Linked DNA regions of Drosophila melanogaster. The protein of the gene in region 1 interacts with the protein of each later gene in a pairwise test. Each region holds a gene or a part of one and is shown in the gene's direction. Other genes may lie near its edges.

What was found.
Region 2: the proteins of CG31111 (region 1) and obst-E interact in a two-hybrid assay, tested with the Drosophila melanogaster proteins (one large-scale study listed by BioGRID).
Region 3: the proteins of CG31111 (region 1) and mil interact in a two-hybrid assay, tested with the Drosophila melanogaster proteins (one large-scale study listed by BioGRID).
Region 4: the proteins of CG31111 (region 1) and Gycbeta100B interact in a two-hybrid assay, tested with the Drosophila melanogaster proteins (one large-scale study listed by BioGRID).

The regions. Positions count from the first base shown.
Region 1 is NT_033777.3:25,054,563-25,057,818, reverse strand, and holds CG31111 (uncharacterized protein), read left to right. Parts: upstream 1-1,641; 5' UTR 1,642-1,721; coding exon 1,722-1,784; intron 1,785-1,934; coding exon 1,935-2,681; 3' UTR 2,682-2,743; downstream 2,744-3,256. Other genes in the region: stac (staccato), read right to left, coding at 1-194, 637-719.
Region 2 is NT_033779.5:5,762,041-5,767,789, reverse strand, and holds obst-E (obstructor-E), read left to right. Parts: upstream 1-1,647; 5' UTR 1,648-1,774; coding exon 1,775-1,829; intron 1,830-3,518; coding exon of another isoform or gene 3,519-4,192; exon of another isoform or gene 4,193-4,330; intron 4,331-4,421; coding exon 4,422-5,116; 3' UTR 5,117-5,237; downstream 5,238-5,749. UniProt on the Drosophila melanogaster protein: Chitin-binding protein that is important for the longitudinal contraction and lateral expansion of the larval cuticle during its conversion into the oval-shaped puparium case. Essential for survival to the second instar larval stage.
Region 3 is NT_033777.3:27,910,481-27,914,342, forward strand, and holds mil (milkah), read left to right. Parts: upstream 1-1,966; 5' UTR 1,967-2,087; coding exon 2,088-2,320; intron 2,321-2,385; coding exon 2,386-2,509; intron 2,510-2,573; coding exon 2,574-2,802; intron 2,803-2,861; coding exon 2,862-2,947; intron 2,948-3,001; coding exon 3,002-3,181; 3' UTR 3,182-3,305; downstream 3,306-3,862. Other genes in the region: CG5003 (uncharacterized protein), read right to left, coding at 3,558-3,862.
Region 4 is NT_033777.3:31,132,534-31,137,419, forward strand, and holds the start of Gycbeta100B (guanylyl cyclase beta-subunit at 100B), read left to right. Parts: upstream 1-1,858; 5' UTR 1,859-2,135; intron 2,136-4,868; 5' UTR 4,869-4,886.

The DNA.
Region 1 (3,256 bases):
CGATGCTGGTGCACTCCGAATCCTGGCTGAGTTGCAAAGTGCCATCGGGACTCTCGTCCGAATCTTCTTCTCCGCCGCTGCCATTTTCCTCCAAGGGAGCCAGTGAACTTTTGAGGACGCCCTCATCGATTTGGGACTTCTGCCGCAGTAGGGATCCAAACTTTTCGAAAAATCCATCATCTCCGTCTTGCAGTCTGCGGAAAAAGTGCAATTAGTAAATAATTCGAAAAAAGTCATTAAATATTATCTGCACTGGCTAGTCATCACTTAATGGGGATTTCATTTCGATTAGGGATACTCGTACTATGAGCAAGCTTATGTAGATGTATTTGAAAGCCCAGTGAAAAATACCCTAAAACTGAGTCATGTTTTAGTTGCGAGTGGGTGGTAAAATCGATCTGTGGCTTCCCCCACTCCCTTACATCACTTGCCATTCCTCACGCACACACGTTAATTTCACTTGATAATCTTTAATTTATCTGATGACACAGTTCCAGTTCTCCAAAATGTTCATATTTGTCTAGAGAAATAGAAACACACATTTCGGCTCGTCTGGCGAACAAATGTTTGTCTATCGGTGAGTTTTCAAGTTTTCTACAGGTATGCGTGAGTCTGTATTTTATTCATCCAACTTACTGGTGTTCATGCTCCGTGGGTGGATTCATTTTGAGCTCCTGCAACTTGAAGAAGAAGCCCTTCCACATCTGCTCCTCGTCCATTGTGATGTTGCGTTTTTAGCTTCAGAGGCACTGAATCGAAATCGGAATCCAACAAGTGTCACCGGAGTGTAGAAACATACTAACGGCTTATTTGCACCGAAACCGAAACGAACAAACGATGTGATTCATTGCCAAAGCTGCTCTCCGACGTAGATTTTTCTCAGTGGTATTCACACGCTCTTCCCTACACTATCGCAAACACATTATAATGAGCTATGGATGTTTGTAGTATCTAACATTGGGCGAAAGTGGGGAAATGGGAAGGAACGGGATGATACATACAGACAGACACCTGTTGCCATGGTGATCGGACGTTTTTTCTAGCTCTCATGCTAATGATTTTAAAAACTTATAGTTTGTAACTCTTGAAATTGTTGAATGAAAATCCATTAAGAAGTTACCAATCATCAATGGTTCTAATGGTGGTAAGCCTCACGCACACCTGTTTATGTACATATACTCTTGAAGGGCTAGGTGTTGGTATTCTTGTAACTACCTTTGCAGACTGGTGCTTCCATGGTCAAACTACGCACTTTAAGGCACATTTTCAGATGCCAAGCTAAATTATGTGCGCAACTATTTAACTACTTTAAAAACATACCTTATTTTTTCAAATATCCTTAATTCCGAGCGCCGGAAGTAACTTTTTAACATGATTAAGTCCTTTGCAAGGTCAGAATGCCAGATTGAATTAGGCTAAGAGGATTTGCAAATCCATTAGGAATTTCCTTAATTTCAATTCGAATTAACGTCTCCGTTTGTTTTTTTCGCACCCTTTAAAACTTTATTTATATCTTTTAAAATAAACAAAGATTAGATTAGATCAGTTTTGTTTATTAATTTGGTATGTAAGATATACCAACATAAATGAATCTACCGAATACCGTATTTCGATAACTTACGAATGGCAGCCCTGCAGTCCGATAATCATAACAAACCCACGGCAATAACAACAAACAAATCGTATCTCTTGTTTTTGCTGAAATTATAAATTAAAAAGCAATGAATTTAAAGTATAAGCGGCGCTACGAGAGCTTAAAACGCTCCGTCAAGAGTTATCTACTGGTAAGATCTTAGAAACTAGGGCGAAGTTATGCAAACTTAAGAGTATTTACAAGAAACCTTAAGATTCCTACTCACATATATGTTTACATTATAGCATAAAACATTTACGGGAAGTTATATGATCTATTAACTTTATAATACCAATTTCAGGAGAACGCCGCCCTCACGGATGAGATCTGTCGTCTGCAGGCCGAACTATCTGTGACCCGATCCCAAAGACTTTACTTGATAGAGCGCCTCATGTTTCACGAGGGCTTGGAGAAATCCAACAGTGGACGACCCAGTGTCTCGAATGGAAAAAACGACGCCGCTGAAACCACAAAGAAATACAGTCCTGTAGTTTCGCATAAGAACCCCGTCGAAGATAAGCCAAAAAATGTTACAATTGTACGGAAAAAGAAGCCCATGTTTCCGATGAACCTAAATAATGTATTACTCCACTCACTGGGCGAGATTATATCAGTGAATCCCAATTTTCACACTGAGAGCTGGATATATCCCGTGGGATATGTGGCCACACGAATCTACGCCCATCCCAAGGATCCGCGCAAGAAGTGTGTGTTCACATGTAAGATTTTAAATAACGCCGGGATTCCTCAGTTCCAAATAATACCCGACAATGATCTGGATGGAGTTTTCTTCGGAGAAAGCGCCAATATGTGTCACATGGAGCTTCTAAACTCCATTCAGCGGTCTCCCTGCGTTAAAATTAAAATACCGTTCGACGTACAGGGCGAGGTTTTCTTTGGCTTGTCAAACCAAAAAACACAATCGCTGCTTATGATGGATCCTGCCTTTCATCAGTGCACGAATTTCAAGGGATTCGCGGTGCAGAATGTGCAGTCCTTAAACAGCGCGTCTTTATCCTTTGAGACGCTCCAGGGATTTCTATCTTGATAAGATCTGTTTTTACTATTTGATTCTCGATATAAGAATAATAAGTTTATAATATAAAGACGAATTTTATTTCTCTGATACAATCGTTGCGAGAAGTACTTAGTTATGTACCTAAGTATGTACCTGGTACATGATACGAAAACACTAAAAACCCGAAACAGCTGATCTGTTTCAATTCCATCTCGTCCGTTTCAAAATATACTTTCCAGCTGTATAATACGTTATAATACAGTTTAAAATATTAAATTATTACGAGTGTTTGGGACAGATTGGTTAACAATTTCCAGTTAAATAGATAACATATTATTCTAAAAACTCTTTGTCCCACTTCCGCATGATTCAATGTGCTAAAATCATATGTTTTATGTGGGCATTCGCGGTTATTTCAAATGAAACTGTGCATTTGTACAATTGTTGTCAACTATCGACTTTTCTATAGAAATGCCGAAAAAAACAAGCTGGCAACCTGCCGAGGCAATCGGAAATACAACCCTCGAATCGAAACATATGTACACAACACCTATCTGAAAAGTATTAAACAATATTTTGGGAAAGTTGTTTTGGCTAGCGTTAAA
Region 2 (5,749 bases), on another chromosome or scaffold:
GAAATTGAATGATGTACGTTTTCGATGTGACTTGGGAACAACATACAACAATTGGTGTTTGTATAATTACATAAGCCTTGATTCCGCTGATATCATGTTTGCAAATCAAGTCTTCGCTCAAAAATTGATTTAATTGCATATTTTCCATTCGTAAGACTAAAATATCACTAAACATAATAAAAATGTTGAAAATGTAGCTAAGAGCAGAATTAAAATATAATTAGAATACAACAATTTGAATTAAAGAATATATTTGTATGATGTAAAGAAAAGTGTAAAAGTGCCTTAGACAAAACGATAAACATAAATTATTTGTAAGTCCATTAATCAAGCAGCTGAATACTATTTAGTTTGCAATTAAATTGGCAACGCTGTGTGTTCATGCATACAGCATATTTTTGTATGTATATAAATAAAACCGAAGGGCAATGTATTAAACTATAATGTTTACTATATATCGAAATAGATTATTTTTTATAACTTGAGTCTATGTCACAATTCCTATTGAATGAGTCTTCTTGATGATTCACAGCCTGCCAATTATTTAACTTCTTTTGTTTAATGAAGAATACTTTTAATTAAGTTGTCATCTAATTTTATTAGGATTTATAACTAATTTGACTAGAAGTCCTTGATCGTAAAATTTAGATTTACACATATTTCAAGAACGCCTCATATGTCCAAATAAAAATGTTTTAATAGGTAATTGCAACTCTGCTGAGCATGGACTACTAGCTAAAACCTAAGGAAAGCTACACAAAAAAAAAAAAAACGATAAAATAAAGAAGAAAAAAAAATCAATATAAAAGTCTATAAATTTAACCACAAATTTAAAACAAATGGTCGATTGGGTATACGTACGATATCTCTGTCAAATTTCATTTGTTTCGATGCCTTAAACACGTTTTTCTGTCTCATTACTTAATTTAAGCTTTGGTTCTTTAAAAATCCCCACAGCCCAAGCTAAGGCCTAATACCAAGATCATTGTCAGATTTTCGTGATTGGTACGGCCTCATGGGCGCAGTCGGCCTTGACTTTATGTTGGATTTTCTGGTTTTTATTCATTTTCGGCTGGCTGTTCACCGAAAACAAAAGTGCGAAATATGGAAATCAAATCGAACATAAATTAGATACAAACTTCGTTGATTAATATTTAAAACAGTTGCTAACTGAAACTTAACGCAGAGCTTTCCGGTTTGATGAACTGACTCAACTCGAACGAAAGTGAGTCGAAAGTATTTATTCTTCATTTTTTCTTCGGGAATCTGACAATTTTATGAGCAGAAACAAATCCCCACAAGAAATCTTATTATGAAAGAATCAATATCTCCATGTACAAAATGTGGTTGGAGAGTCAACTTAAGTTATAATCGCAGTTGCATTAATGTTTCATTTCTGTCGAAATATTGTGCCATCGAATGTCTTTTTCGTTTATTCGTTATTTATTGACAAGTTTGTTTTCATGGCAATTGAGTGAGGCTGAGATTACGACGGCGGCGGCAAAAGCTGTTGCGAATCCCCACCAGGCAGCAGGGGAAGATCCCCAAGCTCCGGCGACGTTTCGGCTCGCTCCGATGATCATCATCCAAAAGAGCTTCAGCCGGAGCAGCTTCAGCTTCGAGTGTGAGGTTGCCAGTTAATATCTGCGTTGCGTTTCTAGCGCGAAACAGTCGAAATTGTCAGCTCGTTGGCTGAGCATCGCAGTAGCTCTTCCTTAGTTTAACTTTTAGTGATCACATTGCCATTCGAAAACAACAAGAGGATTTAAACAAAATGGCTAAAATCTTAATCAGTGCTCTATTGTGCGTTGCCATGTTTGGCTCAATGGGTTAGTATACTATAGTTTTTAATACTATTATTTCGCAAAACAAATGACTTTGGTCACAAACTTTTCTGGTGCTATACTCTATAGTGGCGAAAAGTTCGAGAAGGTGACACAAACATTTGCATATATGTACGTCAGCACAAAATTTCAGGAAACATTAACACATTTAACTCATTTCATCTTGAAGAATTAAAGATTCAATGGTGCGGAAACGAATTAAAGTTAATTCTTATTGCTTCCTATATAAACAAATTCGTATTTCATAGAAAAAAGTGCCAAGACCCACATTATCGTATGTCCCACGTTTGGATGAAACTACATACATATGTGCAATTATTCACTTTTACAACGCGTAAAACTGCTACTCATTCGATTCACAATAGCAGGAAATTACGCGAATTTTCATGCAAAGTAACTAAAGTAAATGTTTTATAGAGAAATGCAAAGAAAGCTAGTAATTATTGCCAACGTGATGGCTAATATGTAAAATCCCACCGAAATTTCATTGATATTTCAAGGTCAGCAGGCAGCCTTTTCAGAAATTTGATTCACACGCCGAAGCGGGCAGAGAAACATGGCTATTGCATAATCTTTGCCTGGCACCAATGGTCGGTCCATTGTGTGGAACGGGTTTATCTCGCGGATAGCGGTCAGACATGTTGGGGGAGCTGGAGGCGACAGATCCATCTCGGTGCGTGCCCAGCCGGTTGTTGTGACCTTTAAGCGCGTTTGCACCTCTTTCGATTCAGTACGACATAATCTTCAGTGTGTCAGGTTTCGAAAAAACCAACGGTCGCGAATCAGATTTCGAGATGAACGTCACGTTTTGTCCGAAATCTATTTGAACACATATGGGAAAAGTAATTGCATGTTTATGGATTCAATTTTTTTGGGTTCAAATAGGGAAAAGCCGGTTACTTTGGTTGAAGCTTTAAAATTATCAAATAGGATAGCAAAAAAAAATAATGAAAACCACACAAATCGTTAACGTTGTGAACATTCACAAGATAACCAGCATTTTTAAATAAATTTGTGTGATTTTAAATTGATCGGCGTAAAATTAAAAAAAAGCGACTAATGACGTCAGTGACAGCAGCTAAATGTGTCCATTGAATTTTAAACTGGTTAATAGGGTAACAGGTTTTTAATAGTACAGCCACTCGAGTATAGGGCCTTAACGATTTAATATGAAAAGATTTTTAGCACAGCTTTTAAAATTAGATGGCATTATAAGCGATGGTTTGTATGCATCCCTAAAAATCCCAAAAAATTCCCTAAAATCCCAATCCCACTATATACTAACATTTGAAACAACTTAAAACAACTACCATCACTTCATCAAAGTCCCTGGCACTTGTCTACCACTTAAACTCTTTTCTGTTACATCGCATTAAATAAACATCTTTGAATTATATTCGCGGGTTCAACAACCGGGGTATGTGCCCACAAAGTCATTAAAGTTTCAATACCCGGGTATGTGTATGTAATATCGCGGGAAGACGAGAAAATCCATTGTCAAGTGGAATGTTGCCCTACGGCAATCCCACGACTTGTCGTTGATCATAAAGTACGTATCAAATAGTTAAAACAAAAAATAAAAAAGAGCCAGTTTCCCATCATAACTCATTAGAGGTAAGCTAGCAAACGCAATCCCATGGATCGATATTAACCGACGTACGCTATTTCTTCCAGCTGCCGCCGCCGCCGGTGCATGCAAGGAGGCGAATGGAACTGCTCCCGTGTCCGGATCCTGCGATGCCTACATTGAGTGCAAGAACGGAGTGGCCGAGGAGAAGCTCTGCCCCGACGGTCTGCTGTACAACGAAAAGTCCACGGGTTACCCCTGCGGCTATCCGATCGACGTGGAGTGCACCCAGGGCCAGGCCCGCCTGCAGGCCGCTCAGCCAACGGATGAGTGCCCCCACCAGTTCGGATACTATCGCATGGGTGATGCCAGCCATTGTGGACAGTTCATGAACTGCGCCGCGGGCCGTGGCTTCGTGTTCGACTGCCCCGAGGGTCTGGCCTGGAATCCGGCCACCTACAAGTGCGATTGGCCCGATCAGGTGGAGGACTGTGACGCCGAGGCCTTCCTGGGCTTCCGCTGCCCAGCGCCGGCACCCAGATCTGAGCTGCTCGGCGAGCAGGAGGCTGACTACACCTTCCACCCGTCGCAGGACAATTGCCAGGTGTACTTCATCTGTATCGAGGGACGTCCGCGTCGCATTGGCTGCGGCGAGGACCAGGCTTTCAACCAGGAGCTGAACCAGTGCGACGACATCGAGAACGTGCCCAACTGCAGCAGTGCCATCCGTGAAAAGGGTGCCCAAATCAAGGCTGCTCGTCTTCACGCCAGGAAGAACTAAGTCAATCCAGTTGTGATTTTTCCCATGCACATGCCATATGGCGATAGGTTGCTCGAGTTTTCTAGTCTGTAGTTAAAGAATTTGGCAAACTGATTGTTGACATTTTGCGCGTCGAAATAAAAAAAAAAAAGGAAAAACAAAAACCACTTTAGCTTTATTCAATAAATAATCTAGCTCTTCATTTATATGACATCTTGCTAATAAATGCGTGATTTCTTTGTAATTACAGCTCTTGGCTCGCCGGAATGCCCCACGCCCAATGGACGATTTGCATCGGGTGACCAGTGCGACTCTTACACAGAGTGTCAGGATGGTACTCCCGTGGAGAAGCTGTGTCCGGACGGCCTGCTCTTCCACCAGCGCACCAAGGCGACCGGAGAGTGCACATACGCCCCGTACTCCACCTGCAAGGAGAGGGCTCGCCTGCAGCCCGCCAACGGAACGGAGGAGTGTCCCCGCCAGTTCGGCTTCTATCCGAACGGAGATGCGACCAAGTGCGGCGTCTATCGCAACTGCGCCCACGGCGTGGCCAGCCTAACCAAGTGCCCCGAGGGCCTGGCGTTCAACGAGGAGACCTACCAGTGCGACTGGCCCGATCTAGTGGAAAGTTGCAACGCCGAGGCGTACCTGGGCTTCAATTGCCCCGCCGCCGATTCCGCCGATGATAGCGCTGCCGCCGCCGTGGATGTCAGCCCGGAGGGTGAGCTGCGCTACTATCGCCATCCCCAGACCTGCAAGAAGTACTTCGTGTGCGTCAACGGACATCCGCGCCTGTACAACTGCGGCAAGTATCTGGCCTTCAACTCGCAGACGAAACTGTGCGACTTCTACAACAAGGTGCCCGAGTGCTATGCCCTGCTCAAGGAGAAGCAGCGCCTGAAGGCGGAGAAGCAACAGCCCCAGGTGGCTCAGCCGGAGGACTAGGCCCTTCGAGAAACCGATGGAATCTCAGAGGCTGCTACCCGTACACTTCCTGTGCAATAATTATTATGCTGTAGATATGTAACTGCTTATTGGTTATGCAATGAATAAATAAGTAATCTATATAGAAAAGGATTTAAATTGATAATTTTAATCTTTTGGGGATTCAAAAATTTGTAGTGGTAAAAATCGATGTTCTTTCACTTTTGAGAAGAGATTTCTTAAAGTATATAAGAAAATTTAAACAACTTCATTTGGTTTCTTGAGTTTGTAATTTATTATCAGTTTCAGATTTTACGTTTTTTGAATTTAGTGTGTTAGTTATTAATAATAGGTTTCTTACTAGTACTCGGTAGATTAATTAAACTTATATTATGTTACATAAGTAAGATGGCAAACCACTTCCACACGTTTAAGCATTTGTTTGCGAACTCATCATGGTCATTTTCTTCACTTCATTTATAATTTTTACAACGTCTTCATTTATTAAAAAAATATTGTTTTTAAGAACCAATTTTAATCCGCAGTTACGATGTTTTTTTAGAAATAATTTAAGCTCGAATTTCGTATTGTTGATTTAAAACATTTATTCTGCATTTATCACTAAGTAACCAATTAATTTTCGTTCAGAATTGT
Region 3 (3,862 bases), 2.9 Mb from region 1:
AGTTCCATTTAAAATAAGCAAAGCAAACTAACAAAATTCGTTTATGAACGCCATGCTGCCTGCAGCTCAAGGAAAGTTCAACCAAGGTGCAAAATAATTTGTTGCAATCAGCTTAGCCTGGCCAGGATTCCGAGGATGCGATGCCCTTCGCCCGATGCCCGATGCCCGACCAACCAAAAATGGTTAGTGAGTGCCATGCCCTGCCATGGTTGCGTTTCTGGGGCCGGGCAAGTTTTCAATTTAAGTTGAATTATTATGACCTTAATTAACACGTCGTTTCATCATCAAATGCCGCACTACATCTTATGCTTTTGTTGCAGATATTTCGGCATGGCGCCGTTGCTTCAGTTTCAGGAGCAGGTGGAAACGTAGGAGTTCCAGGCTGCCAGGTTGCCTGGCTCGTGGATGAGGATGTTGAGCTCCTGATTCGATTTTCTGCAGACATGCACTTTTGCCAGGAAGGAGCTGAAGCAGGAGCTTTAATCCCTGCGCCAAGTAACTGTTGCTCCGGTTGGTCGGGCTGCGCCAAACCATTCCATTCTGCTGGGCTCTACTAATTTTGGTTTTAATTAAATTCAAACTATGTTGACGCTCCCGGCACTGACGACCTCCGACGAGCGGCAATCACGTGGGTGATGGCCATGGTCCCCATGTTCCTCCAAATGATCCTGATGATGCTGATGATGATGGGGCTGCTCCATTACTTATGTAGCTACATTTTATGCACCGCCTAATTGAATGACCGAAATGTAAATTGAAAATGCCCGAATAGCTTAAATGGTTGTGCACTTGAAGAGTCCTTGATTAGTTGATCTTGATTAGTTCCCAACTATCGATTTCCATCTCATTTGGATTAATACCTAACTATCTTGCATATTCCATTCCTGCTAATGATAATGACGTGAAATATATATACATACCAATTATTTTGCACAGTGCAGGCATACACTCGTACAAATGTGGAAATTGGCCAGCCAGAGCCGTCATCATCAGATGCCTGGCTGCCTTACACTATTTGCGTTATGATTTCTTTTTAATTTCCCAGCGGTATTTAGGGAAAAAATTTAATAATATCAAATATGAGAGCAGCGAGTGGTGGATGTCCTGTGGAGACTGGACAAGTGCATGTGCCGTGTGTCGTGTGTGTTTGTATTTGTGGGCAAACATTCAACAGCGCACAACAATGCGATCTCCCGCTTTTCCCGCTTATCCTCTGCGGCTTTCATTTGGCGGATGTGTGTGTGCGTTGTTGTGTGTGTGTGTGTGTGTCTGGACTTCCGCTTGGCTGAATTTGTTTACACTTTTTTTTCGCCCGCCGCCACTGGCCCACTCATAATTTCATTTTGAAATGTTTGCCTAAGCGACAATTTCACTCTTTTTTTTCACTTTTTTCTGTTGTTTTTCACAGCCGGACATATGGCACTAAGCCTGGCCCACATTATTAAAACCAGCGACAAAAGACAAGCGACTCTCGGATAGACCAGAAACTGGGTCCACGGTCCATTTAACAGACTCCAGGAGGCGATGGCGATGGCGATGGCGATGGCAATGGCTGAACCTGAACCCTTGGCGGCACAGCACTCAGCACGTGATTTGCATACACTTAGGCCAGGCTGGCGGCACCCAGTCCAAGCTTTTGGCCCACACTTAATTACATGCCAAATGAAAAGTTGGCGGAAGCAAACAAAAAATTTTGGGGAAACCAAAAATATATAAACAGGAAAAGAGCAGGAATTAAATGTGCGTTAAATTGCCAATAAACATGGCCTGCATCTCAATGGGCAAAGTAAGGCGAAAGGGGTGACTAAAACAGCAATAACACGAGGGTTTAAAAATGTAGCTTAAAAAAAAAGAATAATAAATTGCTTAATATTTTCTAGTACATCTAGTTAGTTCCAGCACTTTAGTGAAAAGCGGGCCTTGCCTTTTGTGCTGGGAGTTTTGGGAAACTGATAGAGCTACTTTTCATTCCCACAACGGCAGTCACAGCGAAAACGCACACGTCCAAATTTTATACTTGAACAAAACCAAATCACTTCAAGAAATATTTTTTTTATTTTTCTTTTGATTATCGTGTCGAAACATAAATGGAAACTGTGCGAAATCGAAACCCTCCGCGGATGAAGTACACCGCTCCACCGAAGATGGAATCGGATTTAAACTTCACCGAGAAGGAGAAGAAAACTCTTACCGAACTGAAGCAGCTCTATTTGGAGACCATTAACCTGGATGTGGCTCTGCAGCGCGACATTTACAATATCGAGAAGAAGTACGAGGATAAGCACAATATCATATTTGATAAGCGCAAGAAGATTCTAGAGTAAGTCCATTAATGGTGTTTGGTTAAACAAGATCTCAATTCCCCCAAAAATCCCATCGGTGCAGTGAGTTTAGAAAGCAAAACCACGGCGACGTGGAAACCAATCAGAGCGTGCCCAACTTTTGGCTGAGGGTTCTCAAAGCATCGTACACCGAGTTCATCAGCAAGAGGGATGAGAAAATATTAGAGGTATGTTATGGATAGATCCGATTTGAAGGATATTTAAATTTTAATTGAAATTTTTCCCGCGCAGTGCTTAAGCGACATCCGTTCTCGGCTGTACAACGAACCCGTGGTGAAGTTTGATATCGAATTCCACTTCGATCCCAATGATTACTTTACCAACACGGTGCTGACCAAGACATATTTCCTCAACTGCCTGCCGGATCCAGACGATCCGCTCGCATATGATGGCGCCGAGATCTACAAGTGCGAAGGCTGCGTCATCGACTGGAAGCAGACCAAGGACCAGACCAAAACCGGTAAGCCATCTGGGAGCATCAAATTTCACAGATGTTAGTTGAATTCACTCATTGACCAGAAAATCAAGAGCCGTCGTTCTTTGAGTTCTTCTCGCCGCCGCTTTTGCCAGAAGATACCCTTGACCCCAACTACTGTGACGTCAATGTAAGATTGAATATCAGCGATCTGCGATCCTTTCACATGCATCTCCTCCCACAGGCTATGCTGCAAAACGATTTTGAGGTGGGCTTCTATCTAAAGGAGCGCGTGATTCCCAAGGCGGTGATCTTCTTCACCGGCGAGATTGCCGATTGTCAGAGCTCCAGCGGATCGGAGACCGAGTCGGAAGATACCGAGGACGAGTCGGATGCCGAAGAGGAGGATGGCGTCGACAAGTAAACATTTTACACCGCTTATATACAGTTTACATACATTTTTAACTCGAGTCACCGAACTATTGGCCTGTCCTTACCCACTACATACCAACCAAATAAACATTTCATTATACATATTTACCAAAAGGATCTCGCGCGCTCTTTTTAATGCCTAGCTAAAGGAATTGAATTGTGGTTTTGATTTATACAGTGCGTTTAGCCTGGCGTGTATATATTACAAGGACTCGAATAGTCAAACGTAATACTAGATGGCTGAGCTACAGCACTCGCTTGTAGCCAGCGTTGTGGATCCATCGGCTTGGCCATGTCGTCTTTTTTCTTAAAAAAAAATAAAATAATCCAGCACGGCCCACTTCGACGGAATCTTTACAAACAATATTCTAAGGAGCCACCACCTCCTGTGGCGGTGGCGATTTCGGTGGCTGCTCGTCGTCGGCGCGCGGCGGTGGCTGCAGCATCACCACCACCGTGTCATCCTCTTCCTGTGTCTCCAGCTCCGGAAGTCTTTCAAACTCCTCCAAGTGATTGGCGACCACTTCGCATTTCGGTTTGGAGATCTTGAAGCGCCGAATTGCCGGAAGCGTAATGCTGGTGCCACTAACATCGATATACACCAGATTCGGAGAGCACTGCACCAGGTGCTCCAGGGTATGATTTGTGATGAGATGGTAGTTTCGCAACGACA
Region 4 (4,886 bases), 6.1 Mb from region 1:
TTTGTCTCAATGCGCTAGTTACGCCCGCTGGGCACCGCCCAAAAACAAAAAAAAAAAAAACAAACAAAACCGAAACAGAATGGAATATTTTCGTGAGACTCTAGATGGCGTGTGCAGCAATAGCAATTGAGATGCCAGCAAAGTTTGGTAACCCTTTCTTCGTTTCGGCCTCTTAATTAAATGCCAGCCCGATAGTCATCTTCTGGCAACTGAACTTGATTAAAGTCCAGGGGCTGTACGTATTTTTCTCCTGCAACGTACGCGGTCCATTTCCCCAGCACAATGTTGGCAGGACCTCTCGATGAGTTGGCTTCTTTTAACTCGCGGTTATCCACAGCTCCCTTACCAGTGCCCACCCAACTGAAACTGAATCAAAAGGATGACTAGTTACGACCACAAGTGTCCAGAACAGAAGGTCTTCGAGTCTTCGGTAATCTTTCAAGTACCTTTTTTAACTTTTTTAACTTGAGCTAAAGTTGTTTTAAAATATAAAATAAATTAACGTTTCTGTAAGCTGAAAACATTTATCACCTCTCTATATTTTGATTTTTAAGTTTGTACCTTAGGGTATTCGAAACTTCGTTGTCAGTATTTAGACTTCCCTCTGGTTTCATGGTAACCATAAAAGGGTGAAAGGGCAAGGGGTATCCCGGCGTAGTTTTTGTGATTGTTTAGAGCCATAGCCCCCGGCAGAGTGACAATGACTTTGACAGTCTGCAGGCAGCGCATTCACTATGATACCTGGTTTCCTGACTGCCAGCTCCTGCTCCTCCTTCAATGTCACCGCCAGCGATGTCCTGTCAGTGAGCGGGTGCTCTTTCGACCAGTGTGCGATCCGCGAATAAACGGCGCCAAAAGCTAGCACAATTAAAACTTGGACAATGCATTTAATTATGTTTGCGGAGAGTAATTAATTTATGCGGCGCTTAAGCGCACATGAATATCCGATTGATGCACTCTGCAACGGCCGGTGTTGCGGCTTTCCGAGTGGGTTTGCCTTGGTGTTTTGTCGCTAACAGGTGCTTGCTTAGCCACGCCCCAGTGCGCCCCATTGGTCGACCTTGTCACCCCTTCACCCACCCGACCACGGACCGCCCACCCATTCAATTTCAATTACCGTACCATACGAGCACTTCTGTTTACCGTTTGCACTGCAAGTGTCTCTAATTTATTTGCTGCGTCTGGAGCGCCGAAATGTTCATCTGCTTGACTGGAGCTGCCCGAAAATCCATTGTCGTAGGTAAATTATGCGTGAGCCATTGACTGAGGCGAAAAGTTACAGAAATCAGCAGGAAGGTAAATAAGAATGGCAATAAATAACGCCGAAAACGGAAGTTGGTGCGAGGTGACGCTGGAAAATTGTATGCAAAGTAAACACTTGCCGGTAAAAATTCAGCGGGTGATTTGATCCGCATCCAACAAATCAAAACTACAAGGCCCACAAAATGCTTTCTAGACTTTCAAAAATGTATCTGCTTATATACATATATATAGTTTTTAATATTTATGATTTATTATTAATTATGATCACTATATTTATTATAATTATTAGAATGGATAAATGAATAATTTCTAATTAGCTTATTCAAATTAAACAACAAATTACCACCTATACTGAAAACCTTTGTTTATATACTTTTATTTTAAGTCAGCCAGGCGCCATCTATTGGCAGGTAGCAGCAGATGCTAGAGCGAGATAGAGCTCGAGAGCGAGCTTCTGGTTTCGAAAAGCTTTCCCGACGACCAGCAACAACAAACAGCTGAGTGGGTGGCAGCCGACAAAGGAAAAGCGGACAAGTGTCCTGCGAGCCGCCTTTAATACGGCGCTCCTTCGGCAGGAAGCGCTCAGTCGTCGACGGCTGATTCAGGCGAATTGTTCACTCCGGCGGACAGAGTGCGGCGCAAAATCGTAGCGGACTGGGAAAACTCCTTGGGAAAAGTCGCGCGCGCGTTTCGCGTTTCTTATCATACGAGTCGGCCAGTGAAAGTGGAAAGTTATTGCGCGAGTGAAAGCAGGCCCCGGAGAAAGAAGCTAAAAAAAAAGCAGCAAACACACAGATAAATCACAAGTTGCAAATAAACAAAAGCCGAGGGAATCGTCGTCCAATAAAAGGAATCGCGCGGCTCAAACAAATGTAAATTATCCACCCACACACACACACACATGCTTTGTTTTTTTGTGAATCATACATAAGCGAATGCGTCGCACACACAATGCCATTCCACTTGGCCCCGGATATTAAAGCATACTTCTCTGCGCTCTAATTTATTTTTGTTCCCGGACGGATATTTTGGTTCACGCTATCATTGTCCTTAATTTATGAGGTTCTGCGATTCTGTCTGCAAAAGTTGCCAAATAGAAATATTTGCCTCAATATGTCAAAGTTTATTAGACATTTAGCTTTGCGTGCCCACGGCAATTTGCTGACAGTTGTTTTAGTTGGTCGGACGATAGTGAATGACCATTATATTTGATAAATGCCCGGGCGGACACCGAGTTGAATGTACAATTGCTTTTGCCGCATTTTCCGCTCAGTTCCCTTTATCCAAAAGATGCACTGTACAAAAAAAAAGCAAGGTTTAAATTCATGAGCCTATGTGATAATAAGTTGTTAGGAAAACTAATAGTTTGTTGCTTTAATTGCTTTAACCAAACAAATAAATGGATAAATAATTGTTAACAACTATAGGATATTTTCAAATTTCTCCCAACGTTTATTTGCAGGTAGATCAGGCAGCAAAATATTTTTTTGGTCGGCCAGCTGATGACTTTATGATATTATTTTTCACTGTACAAACTCAACTTTTGCGGAGAGCACGGCATCCACATCCTGTGGCCGTCCCGTGGCCATGTTGTGTGCACTGTGCCTCATTTTGCGCCGGCCTAATGGCAGGCTCATCATTAACTCAGTTATTGTCAGTTTGGCGCTAAATTGACAGGCGGAACGACGGGCCTTTGGGCAAAAAGGAAAGGGGACTTTTTCAACTGGGCCGAGTAAATATCGTTTTGTTTTTACTTTCGCAGCGGCGTCATTTTGTCGCAATTATCAAATGGCGTGCCCGTCATCGCCAAATAGCAGCGACAAATGGCCCCATCGAAGAAACTTTGGCCCCTTACCCAATAAGCCTGGCCAAACAATTTGCAAAGCCCTGGGAATCGAGACTTATTTACACTCTTGTCTCTCTCTCGACTGGCACGAAAATAGCACAAGGACCTTCTGTTGACAGTGCCTTACCGTTATCAAAATGCCAAATGCTGCACGTAATTAAAATTCGCTCAATTGGAAGGATGTCAGAGGCCCCGAGGTCATTCGCAAATAGGTACTGCCGGTGGAATGCTCTCCTGATTAATATTCCCTATTTGGCAATCACAGTGAGCAAACATGGGGTGGAAAAAGTCTAGCAGTTACATACCAATGGCCAAACGAACAACAGGCATGTACACATTGTACTCGTGTATACTTTCATATATCTTATGACCGGGCTCCTAATGGGCTACAGAAATGTCTGCCAAGATGGGCGAAAATCGATATTTTCTCCGCTCCGCTGGCTGGTTTGTTTAAAGTATTTAAAGCATTGCCGGCTGGCAGGTAGAAATCCCTTACGGCTCGCCGAACTCACTGTGCTTTTCTCCGTGTAACTTATCATTGCTTTGCAGGCCAAGTTTTCCTCTTTTCAATTGGAGGTAACTTTTCCGGCCAGGGCTGCCATTTTGTGCTCCACTCGCTTATGCCAATCCTGCCCCAAGGCGACCCATTACCTGGGCAACTCCCAAGCCCAAACCCAAAAACTCCGCGAGAACTCAACGTTCGCAGTGCCTTAATTGCCCTGCACTCGTCGTGGCGCATAAATTTCTTGGCCAAAAGTGTGTGCGTTACCTGTTTTGGCCCGACTTTTGTATAATTAACCAGACGTATGCACCCTTTGTAGCTTTGTTTTAAAAACGCCATTCTGCCATTTTGGCGCTACTCTGCGATTTTTAAAAAATACTCAAGGAATCTCCATTCTTCGGCTATTCAAGATTAAAATATTATTCTATGTGAAGAATTGGGAAAGTAATAATTTATAATTTTTCCTTGAATTCTGGGCTAGAATTTATTTCACAAAAATTTTCTTTGTCATTAGTAAGGAAACTTTCAGGGCATCCATGGATTCGGCCAAGCGGACTCCAAGCCCCCATTTACCTCGACTAAATTGTGACCCAGTTGATGGCTGAGCTGCGGGTTGTTGGTGTGCCTTTCTATTGGTGCATCGGTGTGTTGTGCCTTCCGCACGTGTTGCATGTGGCATGCAACAAACAGCACATATGTACATACACCGCTGTATAGCCCGCAAAAATGCAGATGTAACAGCGTGGCAGCTGAAATGGCCCTAAAAATTGTAGCTGCCAAGTTTGGGAAATGCTCCGGGCTACTTGGGCCCGACTTTTCGTTTGCGCTCATTTAAATATTTGATTAAAATAGGCGCTTGAAGTTAGCCTTCGTATTTTGGCCTGAAAGATTAAAAAGTGGAAATAATCATGGAATGGCAGCAAGCAAGCCCGATTCGGTATCGCATAAAATATTCATAAATGGTAGCGGTATAATAATAATAACACTCCAACGCCTTCATTGATAAAGCATATTCATATATTTTCACTTTCACATGCTCCGCTCGTTATTGAGCAAACCGCAGCGTTTACATTGTAAATTTCATTACACTTTTTCTGTTTATCATAGCAGTCATATCGGTTGGGCAAACAAATATAATTTATTACATTTTCATTGTCGCGCTCCCAGGGGAGCAGTGTAAGTCGTACGGCGGACGGACGAATCGCGAAAATGAAATAAATTGCAATATCAATATTGAATTCTGGTGTCCAATTTCAGTTGTGATATGCGTTTGAA